4 linked regions of the Drosophila melanogaster genome follow. The protein of the gene in region 3 purifies or fractionates together with the protein of the main gene of each other region. This does not show direct contact. Each region holds a gene or a part of one and is shown on either strand. Other genes may lie near its edges.

Region 1 (3,248 bases), on a different chromosome or scaffold from region 3:
ACAGTTGGCCGGCCATTAATAAAAAGATATTTCAACGCACTTTTCACTGGTCAACCTGTTGACAGGCGCACGCGTTTGTCGCTTGAGTCTTTCGTTTCCCCGCAATGATAATTGTTAGAGGAGGGGGGGGGGGTATAGTGAGCAGGTGGGCCGGGCAAGGCGTTGCAATAAAACAATTTTTTTTGGTATTTGGTTTTTTCCTTGCAAGTTTCAAAACACCCGACGGGAGTCGATATGAATCGAGCAAGTTGCTCAAGTAAAATTAATTTGAAGTGCAATTGAATGCTGAATGGCGATCGGATGGTTGGGGTAAGTTCGCAGTTGAAAATCATTGAACAAGCAGTTTTTTGTGAAATGCTCGCATCTACGAACTAGCAATACTATCTGGAATCCTTATAAATGCGAATAAAACTGATCACTTCACGCTCAACTAAACTAAATTGAAAATAATTCCACACTTCATAAATAGACATTTGTCCCCTTAACAATTAGTTTTGAGTTAAGTGGCTTACATTGCGAAATGTGTGTGTGTTAAAACGGCAAATTAAAATATTTCCACATTACTCTGAAAATTCATATTGCTTCCAAAACGTTAGGTATCGTAAAGATTTCATTGAATTGTGTGTAGTAAGGCATATTTGGATATGGATCTTAAATATCCATCCGTCATAATTTCAAGTGAATATTTTTAAACTAACATATATAAGCAACCAGTAAATGAAATAAGCCATCATATTCGTTTAAAGAGTCATTTATCGTTTATTTACAAAATGTTATGAAGCCACAATGCATGGAGTTGCACCATAATAACAAAATCAACGAAACTTGATCCTTCATCAATCTCTCTCGCTCTCGCCGCCTCCCGTTAGTTGTCCTTAGTTCTCTAGTTGTCTCTGTCTCCAAGTGGGTGTCTGGGTTTTTGAGGGATTTTGTACACAATTTGTATTTCCGCTTCTGACTACGAAATGCAAATTCAACACTTTGACGGCAGCAAAATGCGAATTATCCGCTTAATGTTCTCACTTCAATCGGGGTCGTCAACGGGGGGCTGGTATCCTTTCCGACATCCAGATCCTTAGTGCAGGTAGGCTCCGTGTCCGTAGCCGGCGTATCCCAGACCGTAGCTACCGTAGCCGCCATAGGATCCATGGTAGGTGGAGGTGGAGTGCAGAGCAGGCACGGCATGGACCAGAGGAGCGGCATGGACCACTGGAATGGCCTTGGTGGCCACCTTGTAGGTGTTGGCATAGGAGGTGGCCACCGGGTGGGCGACAATGGGAGCGGCGTAGCTCTTGATGATCGGGGCGTGCGAGATCACAGCCGGAGCGGCATAAGCCGGAGCCAAGGCGGCGCCGTATCCCAGTCCATATCCATGGCTGTAGGGCGAGATTACTCCGGCATTGGCCACGGCGCACAGGGCAGAGATGAGGGCAATCTGCGGAAAAGAAACTTCTATGTTAACTTCATACGAGCGGTAATCCTTTAATCCTGATCTTACCAGTTTGAACATTTTGCTGGTTTTGTGTTGTTTGGACTTCTTGACCGAAGAGCTGAATGTGTTATGCTTAGACGTCTCAAGTAGCCCTGTTATTTATACCCGCAACATGAGAAATATTCTGACAAATCTTGGCCCAAAGAGCGGCGGAGAGGGAGAGCCAACACGCCCCTTTCGACGGCCGAGAGCCGAAGCTTTGTGCATTTGCCGACCAGCAGATCGCGAAAGAGATCAGTCACGCGGCGGCTTTGGCTTGAGCCACTGAGCCACCGCCAATTTTAGCCACCGAATCCCCAAGATTTTCATGGAGAACCACCACGAGCACTTAATTCAATTTGTATTTTTTTCGTCAGCTATTGTCGGCGACTTTTGCTCTAACGGAAACTTTTATATTTCCATTCATTTCGTCGTGGAAATGAACAATTGTCTTCTGGGGGTTTCCAGCTGAGAAAATTCTACGGCTAAATCTGGTTTTGCCTATTAGTAATTTTGCAATTATTCCAGTGATCTAAATTGGCCATTAAGTAACATTTCCTTTGAAAGAGCACTTAAATTTATCTATGAATATTGTGTTTTATTCAAAACCGTTGAATTCACGTGTTCAAATTATTTAAATATAAGCCTGCAAGCCTATTAAGCATATCTGCCTAAATCCTTTCTAAAACCGAAAACACGCACTTTATTATCAATCAGCTGACTGACTGACTGACAGCTCATTAGAGATATAGAGATCCGTAGGTGTGGAAAATGTTGTTGTCCAGATGCAAATGATCAATCGGAGCTGCCTCTCCACGCAGCAAATAAACTCAAGTGGTCCATGAAAAATTACTCACTTTAATAACTGACAAACACAGAGTGGAGATTGGTGCAGTTGGTCATTTTGGTGGCTGCTGGACGGCAGCTGGTTTGCCTATATTTTGCATGCATTAATATTTAACTGATTTGTTATCGCGCACATGGCGTATGCGTAACTTGGGTGGAAGGAGCGTAGTCAATTGGAAACATAGGTAAATCATATTTGCCGCATTTCGAATGGCCTGCCAGATTTCCTAATAGCCATGCTTAATTCTGAAACAGCTTTGAAATCATATCACGGGATCAGTCAGAACACGAGGCTCGAAAAGAATTGCAAAATGCTTGTTTTGAGCCTTGAATATCGGTGTATTGAATCAAAGAGTTGTATAAAAATCGAAATTCTCTCAGGGCGAACAAAGACCGACTTAAAGTTTATGAGTCATAAATTAATAAACAATTACGATGGCGACAATTCTTTCGACTCAGCGACCCTGGCCATCGTTGCTGATTGGACCCCAAATGGACAATCTGCATATCAACGGGGCTTAGTGCTAGTCGAATCTAAAACTAAGCCGAACCCTTCACCAAAGCCAACACCTCGTGATTTCGACCCGTGGCGTTATGCAAATGCTAACCAAATTGTCGCATAAATCTCAATCGAAGGCGGCTTGATTGACACCAAACAGGATGCCAAATTGCGTGGCTATCTATCGATCCGCAGCTACAAAACCAAATATGCCACCCACTCGGTTGTTTTGGATTTTTGGTTTTATTCGTGCTGGTTCCGATTGCAGCTGACCACCAAACTCTGGTGGCCTGTAATTGCATTTTAATGGCCTACCAATTGCATTCTGTTTGTCTGCTAGCCATTGAGCAACGTCCATCCAATGCATACATTCGATTTTGATTCAGATTCGCATTTCCCAAGCGACGCCCAAAATACTTTGATTGCCAACAA
Region 2 (4,119 bases), on a different chromosome or scaffold from region 3:
AAGAAATATAATTAAATTCTAAGGAAGCTCATTGTCTACTTACTTACCAACTAACCATTCCCAACTGCCCATTCTACGAAAATCAACATGTGTAAAGTAATCTGGACTAACTTTCGGATAAGTAAACCCTCTTTTTTAACTACGCCCCTGCTGAGATTAAAACTGTTAGTGATCCGTTACACGTCGTTTGCTGCTGTGTCGTGCTAACCTTGAGATGATTACTTCAATTTGTAGTACGCGATGGCCAGCCTGGCATAAATGGTGGCTCAGAGGGGGGGGGGGGGGGGGGGGCACCAAAGGGGGAATGTCAGAGCCGAGCTACTAATTCGAGACAATTTATTAAATGAGTCGAAGCAGGGCAAGTACGTAGCATAAGCCTGGCGCAAATATGCCGTAAAACAAAGCAAGGCAGCCCTCAAAAATATGACAAAACCAAACGCTTTTGCTTTTTTACTGTTCGTAGTTTTGGCCTGGTAATGAGTTGGGGCTGAACTGGCGTCTATTTTGGCCATAATGATGTGGCGCCACGCTGCGCCCCACTTCAAAGGCGTTTCTACAGCGTCTTCGGGTGGTGGCCTCCCCATAGCACACCCCTCTTGTCTTTCCCAGATGGGTTTAATAAGCAAAACGGCCTACATGGCAATTAAAAAAGTGTCAGTAGGAACAACAGTCAGTGCACTGGAAAACAATTGAAGAACAAAGCCACTTGCTGACTTTAGTTAAAAGTATTGCAAAAATATCTCAAGATTTATGGGATTTCATGAGTCAGTAGCTCGTTTTAGTGGAATGATACCACTGATGTTTTACTAAGACTTCGAAATTAATCTACAATACCTCAAACCATTTTTGGCAGTGTACTATCACATTAACCAAAAGATTTGACAGACGACGCCCGCTGCAAGCAAAATAAGGCACAGAAAACGTAGAACATAGAAAACTTCGACTTGAAGCCCACGAAACAGACGAGCGAACAAATTGCAACATGCAACAGAAAAAAACCATGGGGATTTTCAGGAGGGGGCTGCAACACCGCCGCCCACCGAAATGCAATTTTAACTTATTTCAGCCATTGTCTTTTTATTTCATAAATATTTGTGTTTACGGCTAATTTTATTCGTGCGCGAAGATTGTTTTTGCTAGGTAGTTTAGAGCTTGCAAAGGCCATTTCAATTAAATCGTGATGGGAGATGGTAATATATAGATAGCCAACTTTTTTCCGATCATGATTTCATAATTAATACGCCTTAATAATGGCCAATTTGATATGTTAATACGAGTATTGATTTCAGCAGATAGAACTCGCATTAAGTGAGGTTTTCCCTTCCATTTCACAATTATTTCGACTTCGATTTGCATACATCGCCGGTTATCTCAGAAATCAGACAATTTCCAAAGACAAACCACAGCCAGCCAACAGTCGCTCCACATCTGAACTGAACTTCACTCTCGTTTTTTTTCGCTGAAAAGCATTAAATAATTGTGAATTGTTGGTGGGGAAGGGGGGGCGTTGCAGGGGCGTTGTGGGGGCCTCAACTTCTTGGGCTTCGCTCCGCAAAGCTCGGCTTTGGCTGGTATTTCATTGTAGTTTTGTTTTTGCCCCTGCTGACCGACTGGCATTCGGCTTTTTGTGACTCGGCTCGGTTTGGGCCGCTCGGGCGTTGTCTTGTATATAAAAGCGGCTTCCTTCTTGGTTCTAGTTATCAGTTGAATCCAGCTCAACGTACAGCACACACTCGCGTCTGCAAGAAACAAAATCCCAAAAATCCAAACAATGGCATTCTTCAAAGTGAGTGAACAGGACAGCCCTGTGACAGCCAAAAGTGCCCTGTGATCCAATCGAAATAGCAAACTAATAAAACAAACCCCTATCCCCTGTGATCTAGTCCCTCATCTGCCTGGCCGTCCTGAGCGCCGCCTCCGCCGGAGTCCTCCACGGACATGGTGCTGGTCTCTACGCCGCCGCCCCGGCCATCTATGCCGGCCATGGTCACCACGACGAGGGAATCGATTACCATGTAAGTGGGCAAGATAACCCAAAAAGGATTAACTTTCAAAGTAGCGCATATGAGGATTACTAACTCTTAAAGAAAATCAATGTCCTACTATTGGAATCCATTTGACTTGTTTAAAACATACATTTTGAAAAGCTTCCTCTTAATTGAAAATGTGCATCATGAGTTTATTGCTCTTTTAAAATCAAACGACTACAATACCATCCAGAGCTAAGAAATGCATGCATCTTGACTCATAAAAATTACTTATACGACACGTAATCCCTCCCGCAAACATTACTCATACGACCTGTAAGCCCGAAAAAGTTATACAGCCTACCGGCTGTTCATGCAATCATAAAATTATACTTAATATGCCCTAAAACTGACACCATCAGTCCGCACAACCTCTCACCCACTCCTCTGTGGATGCTGGTGGCCCAGGGTCACTGTGGCATTTGCCATTTAGCCATTTTCCCACGCTAGCTTCATTAGCATGGCCAGCTGCTTCGAGTGGCGTGTGGCATGCACATAAAATTAGCACCCAATCCTAGCAGGCCCGTACTCTTCTCATGGAATCTTTACGCCAATCCGCAGGCCTACCCCAAGTACCACTACAACTACGGAGTGGCTGACTCTCACACCGGAGACGTGAAGTCGCAGCACGAAGTGCGTGATGGTGATGTCGTCAAGGGATCCTACTCTCTGGTGGAGCCCGATGGTTCGGTGCGCACCGTGGAGTACACCGCCGATGACCACAATGGCTTCAACGCCGTCGTCCACAAGACCGGCCCCACTGTGCACCACGCCGCTCCCGCTGTGGTTGCCCACGCCGCTCCCGCCGTGGTCCATGCCGCTCCGGCCTATGCCCCAGCCATTGCCCACCATGTGGCCGCCGCTCCCGCCGTGCCCTACGCCGGATCCCTGGCGCATCAGGTGCCCGCCTACGGATACGCCACCCACAACGCTCACGCGCATGTGGCCCACTACTAAGGAAGTGGAGCAGTCCGCTGGATGCACCACCTGAAGCACCACCTGCACCGCTAACACCACTCTTCTGTAATTTATTAAGCACGTTGACGACCTCACAAAACGGCTGATCGATCCACTGACGAAGCCTGCTAAAATACTCAGTACCACAGTCATGTCCATCATGTCCTGCCGTGGATTCCCCGGACTTTCCCGGCAGCCTCTGTCTCCCTCACACACACACACACACATTGCCGTCTCTGTCTCAGCTTTCGCGCAATTCTCTCTTTTGTTTGTTAATCAACCTTCTCTTTAATTGTAAATAATGAAAACATCGAGTGAGGAACAAACGCCCATCCTGCCACACGCCCACGAAGAAGAACCAACCTGAAAAGATGAAGAAAAACGAACAAAATGTAAAAAAAAATAATAAAAAAAAACACATGTATTATAATAATTTTGTGTATACTATAAGTTTGAAGCTGAAACGGCTGACAATGCTATAAATACAAAATGTAGAGAATTATAAAAATTCAAATATTTCGTTTTTTTACTGCACAGAAAGGAACTGAAAACATAGATTGATCTTTAATTTGATTATTCTGTTTTATCTTACAATTAATTAGTTGATTGGCATTTCTGATCAGAACACATTCACTTTCAAATTGATTCCAAGTATGGGTAATTATGGTTTCCATTAGTTATGAATGTTATGGAAATTGATGGGTAGAGAGCACTTCGTCGAGATCACGCCACTTGATTGACAATAATCGATCTGGCTAATTTGTGGGCGTGGAGTGAAAAAGGTGAAGGTAATCATCGGCGGTTGATTATCATTTGATCCGCCAATAACCAGTTGGTGTTTATTAACTGATTATTTATCTGCAGAAGAACTATGCCATCTGTACTCTGGCAAGACGTGCGCTTTCATAATAAGATTCGCATCAGCATTCATATGAAACTTGAAGCTTAAATATAAAACTATATATAGCCTTATGTATCTGGAATTTGCATTCATAGAGTTTTCTTAATTTCCGATTTAAGGATATTTCACCAGATGCACTACTCGAACTCATTAAATGGGCTTTCTTTAATATTATTTTGTAGAAAACTTTTGGGCATTGATTTCTTAAACAACTTTAAACTACGATTTCAAATT
Region 3 (3,241 bases):
GGGGCTGGCTAAGTGGGAGGGGAAAATCACGCAACAGTTGGACTCTGCTATAGCAAATCGAAAGATATAGGGGGTAAGGAAGTGCGGGGTTGATTCCATTTGATTTGTGGCTGGATTTCGCATTGAACGCAGTTGGGGACTTTGCGCATGCGCATGAACTTGACATTTCAGCATTCGATCCGATGGCTTTGCTCTAATCACACTTTATTATGGAGGAAGGGGTTGCATGCAAACAGCGTAGTGTCAATTTGAGGCAATGAGTCAATTAATTGTATTCGGAGGCGTAAATATGCGATGATAATATATTGAGAGCGAACGGGCTTTGTATACTAATAGATTGAGCCTGTGGGAATTTGTCAGGCAACATCTATTTATTTTAATTTTGGCTTGACCAAAACAAACTTTGTATACTTACATTATCATTAAATAAAGCTTTATCAAACGAAGAATATATATTATGTAATGTTCTGTAAAGCGGAAAAATTATAATGAGGAACCATCAAAGATTTGTTAGCAATAATGTTAATTTGTCGCAATTTTATTTATATGTGGGTATTTAATATTCCCAACTTCGCAATATTATTTACACATTTCCCAAAATAAAACGTTTATACTTTAGTTACATTTTCTTTATTGGCATTATGTAGATGTACAAGCATTTCCTTCCAGAATGCACTTGGCATTCCGTTCGAAGAAAACTTGTGATGGTTTTTTCACAGGATGCTTGGAAAATGTATGCTAAATAAATAGGTAAGCGAGAGAAATAGGCAACCACAAACGTGGCCGGGTGCTTAGGTCGGAAGAGAATTTTGATGACTCCTTTTTTTCGGGACAGGTATGAAAGGATCCTGTTCAGGTGCTAGGTGCGAGTACCCTGTCTATATATGGCTATATATACAATGTATTTACATAACGTGTTGAGGGGTCTAAAGTTCGACTTCCCCATCAATGGCAGTATCCGTGGCAGAGGCAATGGTCCGATCGACAAAGGGATTGAAGGCGGTATACTCCTTACAAGGTTCCGGGTGCGGGAGCGGCATTGATGGAGGCCACCGACTGGATGTGTCCGGCCAGAGGAGCGGTGTGAATGGCACCACGGGTCTGGGCAGTGTAGACGCCACTGTGAGCCACTGGGGCCACGACGACTGAGGGAGCATGAGCAGCAACCACAGCGGGAGCAGGGGCAGCAAGCACGGCAGGAGCGGCGGCGTGGATCGCTGCCGGAGGCCACGAAGCCACGTTCACGGCAGCAGGCCAGTGGGCGGCGGGAACGGCCCAGGGAGAGGCCACCACAGCGGGTCCGGAAACGGCGGTGTAGGACAGTCCATGTCCAGCCACCTGGGACAGCAGGGGGATCACAGACGACTGCACGCCCATGGCGAGGGCCAAGGTGAAGATAACGGCGACGGCGAACTGTATAATGCAAAATATATTGTTTAGTCTTATGAGTAAAACTTCCTTGTTGAATTACTAATATTAATCCAAGCTATGTTGTTGTTAATTATCAGGATAAATCCGTTTGATAACTCACTTTCATGGTGCTGTTTGTGGGTTTTGGGTTGCGCTCTGGTTGAACTCTTGTTCTGAACTGATCTGTCAACGGAGCTGCCGGCCAGTTTTATACCCAACTGCTGACCACATCAGCAATAGAAAACCGCCAAGTCGGAGGGTTCATGAAAGTGAGAGTTCACACACCATGACATGGTGGACACGGCTGACACTGCTCCGCATGCATATGATCAGCTGTAATGACATGCCTCGGATCTGAACGGATCGTATCGTATCGAATCGGATCAAACGGCTAGGTTGAACGCCTTCAAAGCGGTTGAATTCAAGAACTAGTTCTACATCTACAATACTTTGTTATTAGCTTATTGTACTAATCGAAATACGTACATTTATTTTCTAAAGAATAAAAAAATAAATGAAGAAGAGAGGATTGTGACAAGAAGTTAGGTTACCTAATTTGTATCTTTAAGGTGGGGTTTTTAACAATAACCCTCTCAAAAATGAACTAACTCGGTAGTGAACCTCTATTTCCGCACCACTCAAACATGCACCACCACAGAAAATGCATTCTCAGTGAGTGTGTTTCCATCTCCGTGGCCATGTGGGTCCAACTGTCTAAGTGAATGGCCCAACCCACTTTTCAGCTGCAGTTCCGGTAAGTTGATTTTCACTCCATCACACCGCCACTTTAATTACTTAATTGTTGTTTGTGCGCGATTAGCATTTCAGTATGATTTATAACACGATTCCAATTATGGAGCGATCCGTATCCTGTATAAGGCCGGCTAATATCTGATTTATGTGTCTTAAGGGTTAATGATATGCGAGGAACAGCCCACTTTATCGATCGATATTGAAATATAATTATGGGAAAATTAAGAGCTGAAATATATTATTCCATTTGAACAGAACTGATCTATAAATCTGTTTCTAATATTTTAAAGAGTTAATATTAAAATTTTAAGCCGAATAACAAAAAGTAGATTATAATCAATTGGACTAGTGTAACTATTTAGAATTCGAATCCAAGAGACAAAAGTTTGCAATTCGTTTCATGACATCTACAAATTCGTGTGTGCATAAGCCGCTTGTTGGCTATAAATTAACCAAAACTTGCAATTAACACAGCTGAAAGGCATTCCAGGTTAATCCGCTTTTCCAGGCTATTTCCCTAATTATTTCCACCTCCGATTACCTAATGGAATCGACATTGCGCAACATTCAATTGTCTGAAATGGGTCTGGAGCGTGGGTTACTGCAGCCCGGAACAGCCCACATAAATATATCGCAAACCCATTAGGTGCCGCAATTAAGTCAGACTTTAGTGCAAATTGAACCCAGCAAAGACAATTCAATTATGCCCAAAAAAAACTGCATGAGGGGAAAAACTTGTTTCGATGCTAATGTGGGTGAGATCGATTGTCGAGTCTTGGCAAAATCTCTGAGACACCAAAAACACCAAAAAAGTTCAAGTTGAATTCTTTCGGTGCGATGATAATCTGTAATTAGCGACTACTATAATTTACTCCATGTGCCAATTATTTTCCTATACCAGAAGCCCAGGTGCTGACTAAAATTGAAACTTGGTCTTTGTGCGATTTGTAATTAGCGCTAAGCGTTTGCATAATTAAGCATACGCCCTGTGGCCCAATACGTGCATATGATCTGGCTTTGTACCAATTAACTCGATCTAATGACCATTGGCCCCCAGCTTGACTACCGTTCAGCTGTG
Region 4 (5,195 bases), 7.3 Mb from region 3:
TTCGTCGGCGATTCTGTGGCCCCAGGGACCAACGACCGTCCTCGGTCTGGGCGCGCCAAATCCGTAGGCATCGCGACACATCCGGATTTTGTGTCTGTTTTTTATATTTTCATTTAAGTCTTAAACGGTAGCCGCATTATGCGTAGCTCAGAAGTTATCTCCTCTTGTCGAGTGATTAATTTTAATTTTTTTTTTTCGCTTTTATTGCTGAATAATTTTTATTTACTGCTTGCAATCGATAAATTTTTGTTGTTCGAAAAAGGGCATTTCATGTTGGCCATTCCCGTGCGGCCTGCAGTCGTTGACCGCTTTGAACTGACCTTGCCGCGCGAATTTTCGTTAATTTCAACTTTGTGGTCACCGCTTTGCTGCACTGGTCCGGGATGCTGTTGTTTATGTTTTTCAGACTTTTCTGGTTTTTATCGCCCATCAAGGTGATAGGTTTGCATATAAATGACGCTAGAACAAAAGACTTTGGCGACGAACTCGTGGTGACTAAACATGTGTACGAATTCACTGTGAGAGCAGTCAAAAGAATTGGTTTGCCCCAAGATATTTATTTTAATGGGAATGAATCATTGGACTGCGTAGCGGAAGTTTATTCGTAGCTAGGGAATCGATTATGATGAAGTCCGTTTGCCAATAAGCAAAAAAAAAAAACTAAACACCAGTTTTAAAAACCTTTTTCGAAGCATTTTTAACATAAAGTAAATATTTCAGTAGTTTAGATACTTCCTTTATAAATTGCATGCTGTAAAAATAGTTATACGACTTTAGAAGTTTTTCAGCCAGCTTTAAGCACCACATTTTTTTCCAAACACAGAATAATACTTTTTTAAATCCAAAGACTAAGTACATCGGCTAAACTCTAGAGAGCCTTACGTATAATGAATTACTGATTTTACAGCAATATTTACATTTTTGTTTATGTATGTTTTTATGGCTAATTTTGCACATCATAAAAGATTCACTACTAAGGCAAAGACAACAAGATCTAGCATACTGCGGCTGAAAAGTGGCTTTGGCGTCGACCAGCCAAATTTGCAACTGTCGAGATTCACAAGTCGGATGGATTGACTGGACATAAACAGAGATCACGGAGGCTAACTTGGTGATTTGGCTTGGCGTTGGTGCGTGGCACGGTAGTCGCTAGTAAAAATTCAATTAGCAAATTAAATATTAATTACCAGACGGGTCTCTATGCTAATTGAATTAGCAATAGTAGCAGCTGGCAAATAACTAAATAAAGGAAAAAGTATTGGGGGTTTTTAAGTTGGAATGCTGCGAAGATGGAGTTTTTGAGGATTCGTTTTAATATTATCCAATATTTGGCACCTATTTTTTCTGACATAATTGTTTAAATTAAAGAATGTTGTATGAAAAGTGGAAATTGCAATTTAAAATTTGAAATTTTGATATTATAACGATTGCATTTTTGATTATACAATGCAATTACGTTTCATTAAGTTTTATTTTGGTTTAATAATAAATGTCTCATTTTAACATACTACCTTATAAATAAATCTTTTGTTTTTATGTCCAGTAATGCATTATACATTAATATTTTAAGTGGGCCTTAATTTATATCAACCAAATTAAAATGTCAGATGATAAAATTACGTTTGAGAGTTTTATTTTGTTTCCTTTTTTGTAACAATGCAAGTTCTAATATTTTCGGAGCACAGCTGTTTATACTAATATTATTTCTCCTCGTGACAGGTGCCAATGCTATTCTCGCCCGGCTGATTAAAGTATATAATTTGCCGCTCGGCTGTGAATTTAGTGTGAGGCCAGGCCCAAGATGAACCAGTTTGCGGTTGGAAAGTGTGGCAGCCTAGAGTCGGACAAGGTCCCTGATCAGGAATAGCCCTGGCGATATAGCCCAAGTTCCCTGTCGGATTTTTTGATATTTTTTATTTTAATAATTTTTTTTTTGATTTTCTGACTTTCCGACATGACTGCTTCATAAATTCACACTCACTTAAGCCTGCAATTAGCGGTCGAGCAAAAAGCTCCCATCGCTTTGGAGCTTTGGCGCTCTGTTGCTCTCTTTTGGGAAGGTTTTGTCTTTTGCTCACCGCTCTCGGCGTTCAGTTGATCGACGGCAAGCTCTCGAAACGGACGCAGATTTTTGTAAGTCGCCGCCGCGCCTGCGCATTTTAAATCAGTTGCAACAAAAAAACAACGAGAGGCAGCGAAGACGAAATCGAATTGTGTTTTTATTTGTTTGCTTTTGTTTTGTCTGTGTGTTATGCCATGCACAAAACCACCGTGTTCGTAAAAGTGGAGAAAAATCAAAAATCGAAAATTCAAGCCGAAATAAGTTTGCCAAAACAAAAAGAAACCGCAAAAGCCGCGTTATAATAACGCAAATAACGGTATTAAGTTTGAAGCTCATCTAGTTATTTATGCTTTGCTCCTCGTGGTTGTCTGCAAAAATAAAACAAAAAAGCTTAAAACAAACAACAGTGTCGAAAAACCTTAACAATTTGCGCGCACATAAAATATAATTAAAGCCAGCAAATTTTTGCCTTAAACATAAAAAAGTTAATCAACTTGGTTGCAATTAAATGTTGCAATTTATTTTTTTGCAACTAAAGTGCGAAATATTCAGTGCAATACAATAACAAAAATAAATAAGTTTCTCTGAAGCAATACAAATAAAAGTTTCTCTGTAGAAATATAAATAAAAAAATACCAAAATCCATATTATCAAAAATTCAATAAGATATGTAAATAAATAGTTTGGTATACTCAAGCAAAAATAGAATGCTGAACAATGGATAATAAATTATTTATTTTTTTGGGTAACAAACTGATTGCCGAGACTTAAAAGACACCGAGAACTAAAAATAAAATATGATAGATCAAACAAAAAAATTCCCAAACATCTAAAGAGGGAGTCCGCCATTCCTCAAACGTATGTGTGATGGGTGTATGTGTGGGTGGGAGCGGGAAAATTGTGTTGGTAATTTCTAATGCACATTTTCCCTTTAGTATTACCCAACACAATGTTTTATTACCCTTACAGGAGTAACAGGAGTAACTAAACCTTTGATATTTCGATATTTATTAAAACATGAAAAAGAAAATTGATTATAACAACTTCCAGCAATTTTAAACCTTTTTTTTGTATTTTCCGCGAAAGCGTACATAAAGAGCGTATTTTTTTTAATACCCCTTCCTTTTACTGTATTTTCCTGCCTGCCCTTTTAGTTGTCGTTGAATTTGTATGACGTGTGTGCATCAGGTTGATTTTTGTGATGCGTTTTGCCTATGTAATTTCCATGTCAGGCGTTGGGATTACTTCATCTCCCGTTTCATTTCCTATATGGCCAGATGATTCAAACCAAACTGACCAGCGCAAAAATGAAAACAAAAACTACTGCTACAAAAAAACTAAAAAAAAAAGTTGCACGAAAAAGCCGGTTGAAGGCAACTCTTACATATTTACACGCACCAGCGCTCATTGAACACACGCCGCCAGCAGCAACAACAAAGCTAGCACGGGAAAAAATTGTTTTAAACAGTTACTAATATTTTTATTAATATATTAGTAAGGATTATATTGATAAATAACAGTACTACAAAAAGTAATATCAAGATATTCATAATATTCATATATGACATAAATCATACAATTCCGAGTAATTATTTTCTCTCACTGCATTACAGCAACAGCAACAAAAGCAATATCAACAGGGCGACACAGAAACCTGTTGTTGTAGCTCTTGGTGCCTCTCTTGCTGTCTCTGTCTCGTCAAAAGACATTTGCAGAGTTTCCAGCTGCGTGTTGATTATGTCAATTTCATGTTTACTTCATTTCCTCAATCCACCGGCAAAGGTGTTAGAGAGAGGGGTATAGTGGGCGGAAAGGGGTGCGCCAGCAATTTCACTTTCGTTGGACTTGAAAATAAAAGCTGCAGTCTCTGTGGCAGTGTGAGCGAGTGCGAGAGAGAGAGAGAGAGAGAGATTATTGGAGCAAGATGGAAGGAGGTTGGAGCTTGGGAAAGAGAGCAAGTGAGAGTGAGAGTGCGCACAGCAAGTGTGCTGCATACGGTACTTGGATGCTGGTGCTGCTGATGCCTCACTTGCTTTGTGGGGCGTTGCTGCACCGTGGGTTATTGCTATTTAATGTTCTTGAGCATAAAATTGTGGATCGTGACTTTGGGCTCAGCAAATAATTCGTTTCACTAATCCGTATTGTTTCATATATAATATATTTTAAAAACCAGGTGACTAGTCACAATAACTAACTAACTGACTAGTTACAATAAAAGTTTTACCCAATTTTTTCAGATATTATGATGAAATCTTAAAAGAAGTGATACCAATTAGAATGGCTAAGCTCTGAGATATTTGAAGATTATTATTATTATTTTTGTTTATGAATTGTTATACTCTCAGTTTTCATATTTGCTTGAAAAGTTAGTTTGTTGATGTTTTAAGAACAATTATATGAATTTTGCAATGTTCATACGTCAATATAAGGATTATTATGTTACCATCCTTTTAATAACTGTACCACTGTGCGCCGGCGTCTTTTGTGTGCTACTCGTCGCATATTTTCCGTTTCGTTTTGTAACTGTAATGTCTGTTTTTCCCATTGTCCGATTGTTGCTGGTTGTCGCTTTTGTTTTGCGCTTATAACGTAATAACGTAATGTGCTCGAAGATTTCCACATGCGATGCGTCGCACCTTACGTTTTGGTGCCAAGTCCATCGCCGACGTCGACGTTCATTGTTTTTGCAGGCAATTGAGCCAATAAACTGACGCGAATCGTAGCGACTTACAAATTCCTGTCCGAAAAATATGCGAAGGTCAACCAGAGGGGCAGCACCAACAACCACAACGATATCGAATCCATAACAAAATAGTTGAGAACTCCCGCAAGTGGAGTTTCATACGAGTATGTTTGGTATTCGCACCTTCAAACATGATTTCACGGACTGTCAGCTTGGCAAAAATTCTAATTATAAATGAAACAATTTATTACCGGGTTTTTAAAATAAAATGCAATTTATGTGCAAAGTCTGGCGGCGGCGGCGGACTTGACTAGTTAAACCGGTTGACTGCCAGCAGCAGCAGCAGCAATGAAAAAAAATGGAAAAAGAACCATTGACTCAATGGGGGTGCAGTCAGCAACAGCAAATTGCAACTGCAAGGAAAACATTTTTCTTAAATATACGGAATTA

The links.
Region 1: the proteins of Acp1 (region 3) and CG4962 purify together in Drosophila melanogaster (affinity purification with mass spectrometry, with the first as the bait; one large-scale study listed by BioGRID). This does not show direct contact.
Region 2: the proteins of Acp1 (region 3) and Cpr62Bc purify together in Drosophila melanogaster (affinity purification with mass spectrometry, with the first as the bait; one large-scale study listed by BioGRID). This does not show direct contact.
Region 4: the proteins of Acp1 (region 3) and mol purify together in Drosophila melanogaster (affinity purification with mass spectrometry, with the first as the bait; one large-scale study listed by BioGRID). This does not show direct contact.

Annotation. Positions count from the first base shown.
Region 1 is NT_037436.4:16,293,974-16,297,221, forward strand, and holds CG4962 (uncharacterized protein), read right to left. Parts: upstream 1,575-3,248; 5' UTR 1,511-1,574; coding exon 1,499-1,510; intron 1,436-1,498; coding exon 1,076-1,435; 3' UTR 738-1,075; downstream 1-737.
Region 2 is NT_037436.4:1,839,657-1,843,775, reverse strand, and holds Cpr62Bc (cuticular protein 62Bc), read left to right. Parts: upstream 1-1,691; 5' UTR 1,692-1,771; coding exon 1,772-1,786; intron 1,787-1,883; coding exon 1,884-2,015; intron 2,016-2,588; coding exon 2,589-2,984; 3' UTR 2,985-3,495; downstream 3,496-4,119.
Region 3 is NT_033779.5:7,739,945-7,743,185, forward strand, and holds Acp1 (adult cuticle protein 1), read right to left. Parts: upstream 1,594-3,241; 5' UTR 1,538-1,593; coding exon 1,532-1,537; intron 1,414-1,531; coding exon 1,012-1,413; 3' UTR 618-1,011; downstream 1-617. UniProt on the Drosophila melanogaster protein: Component of the cuticle of the adult fruit fly. Could be involved in thickening of the hard adult cuticle.
Region 4 is NT_033779.5:14,994,454-14,999,648, reverse strand, and holds the start of mol (moladietz), read left to right. Parts: upstream 1-2,089; 5' UTR 2,090-2,133; exon of another isoform or gene 2,134-2,935; intron 2,936-5,195.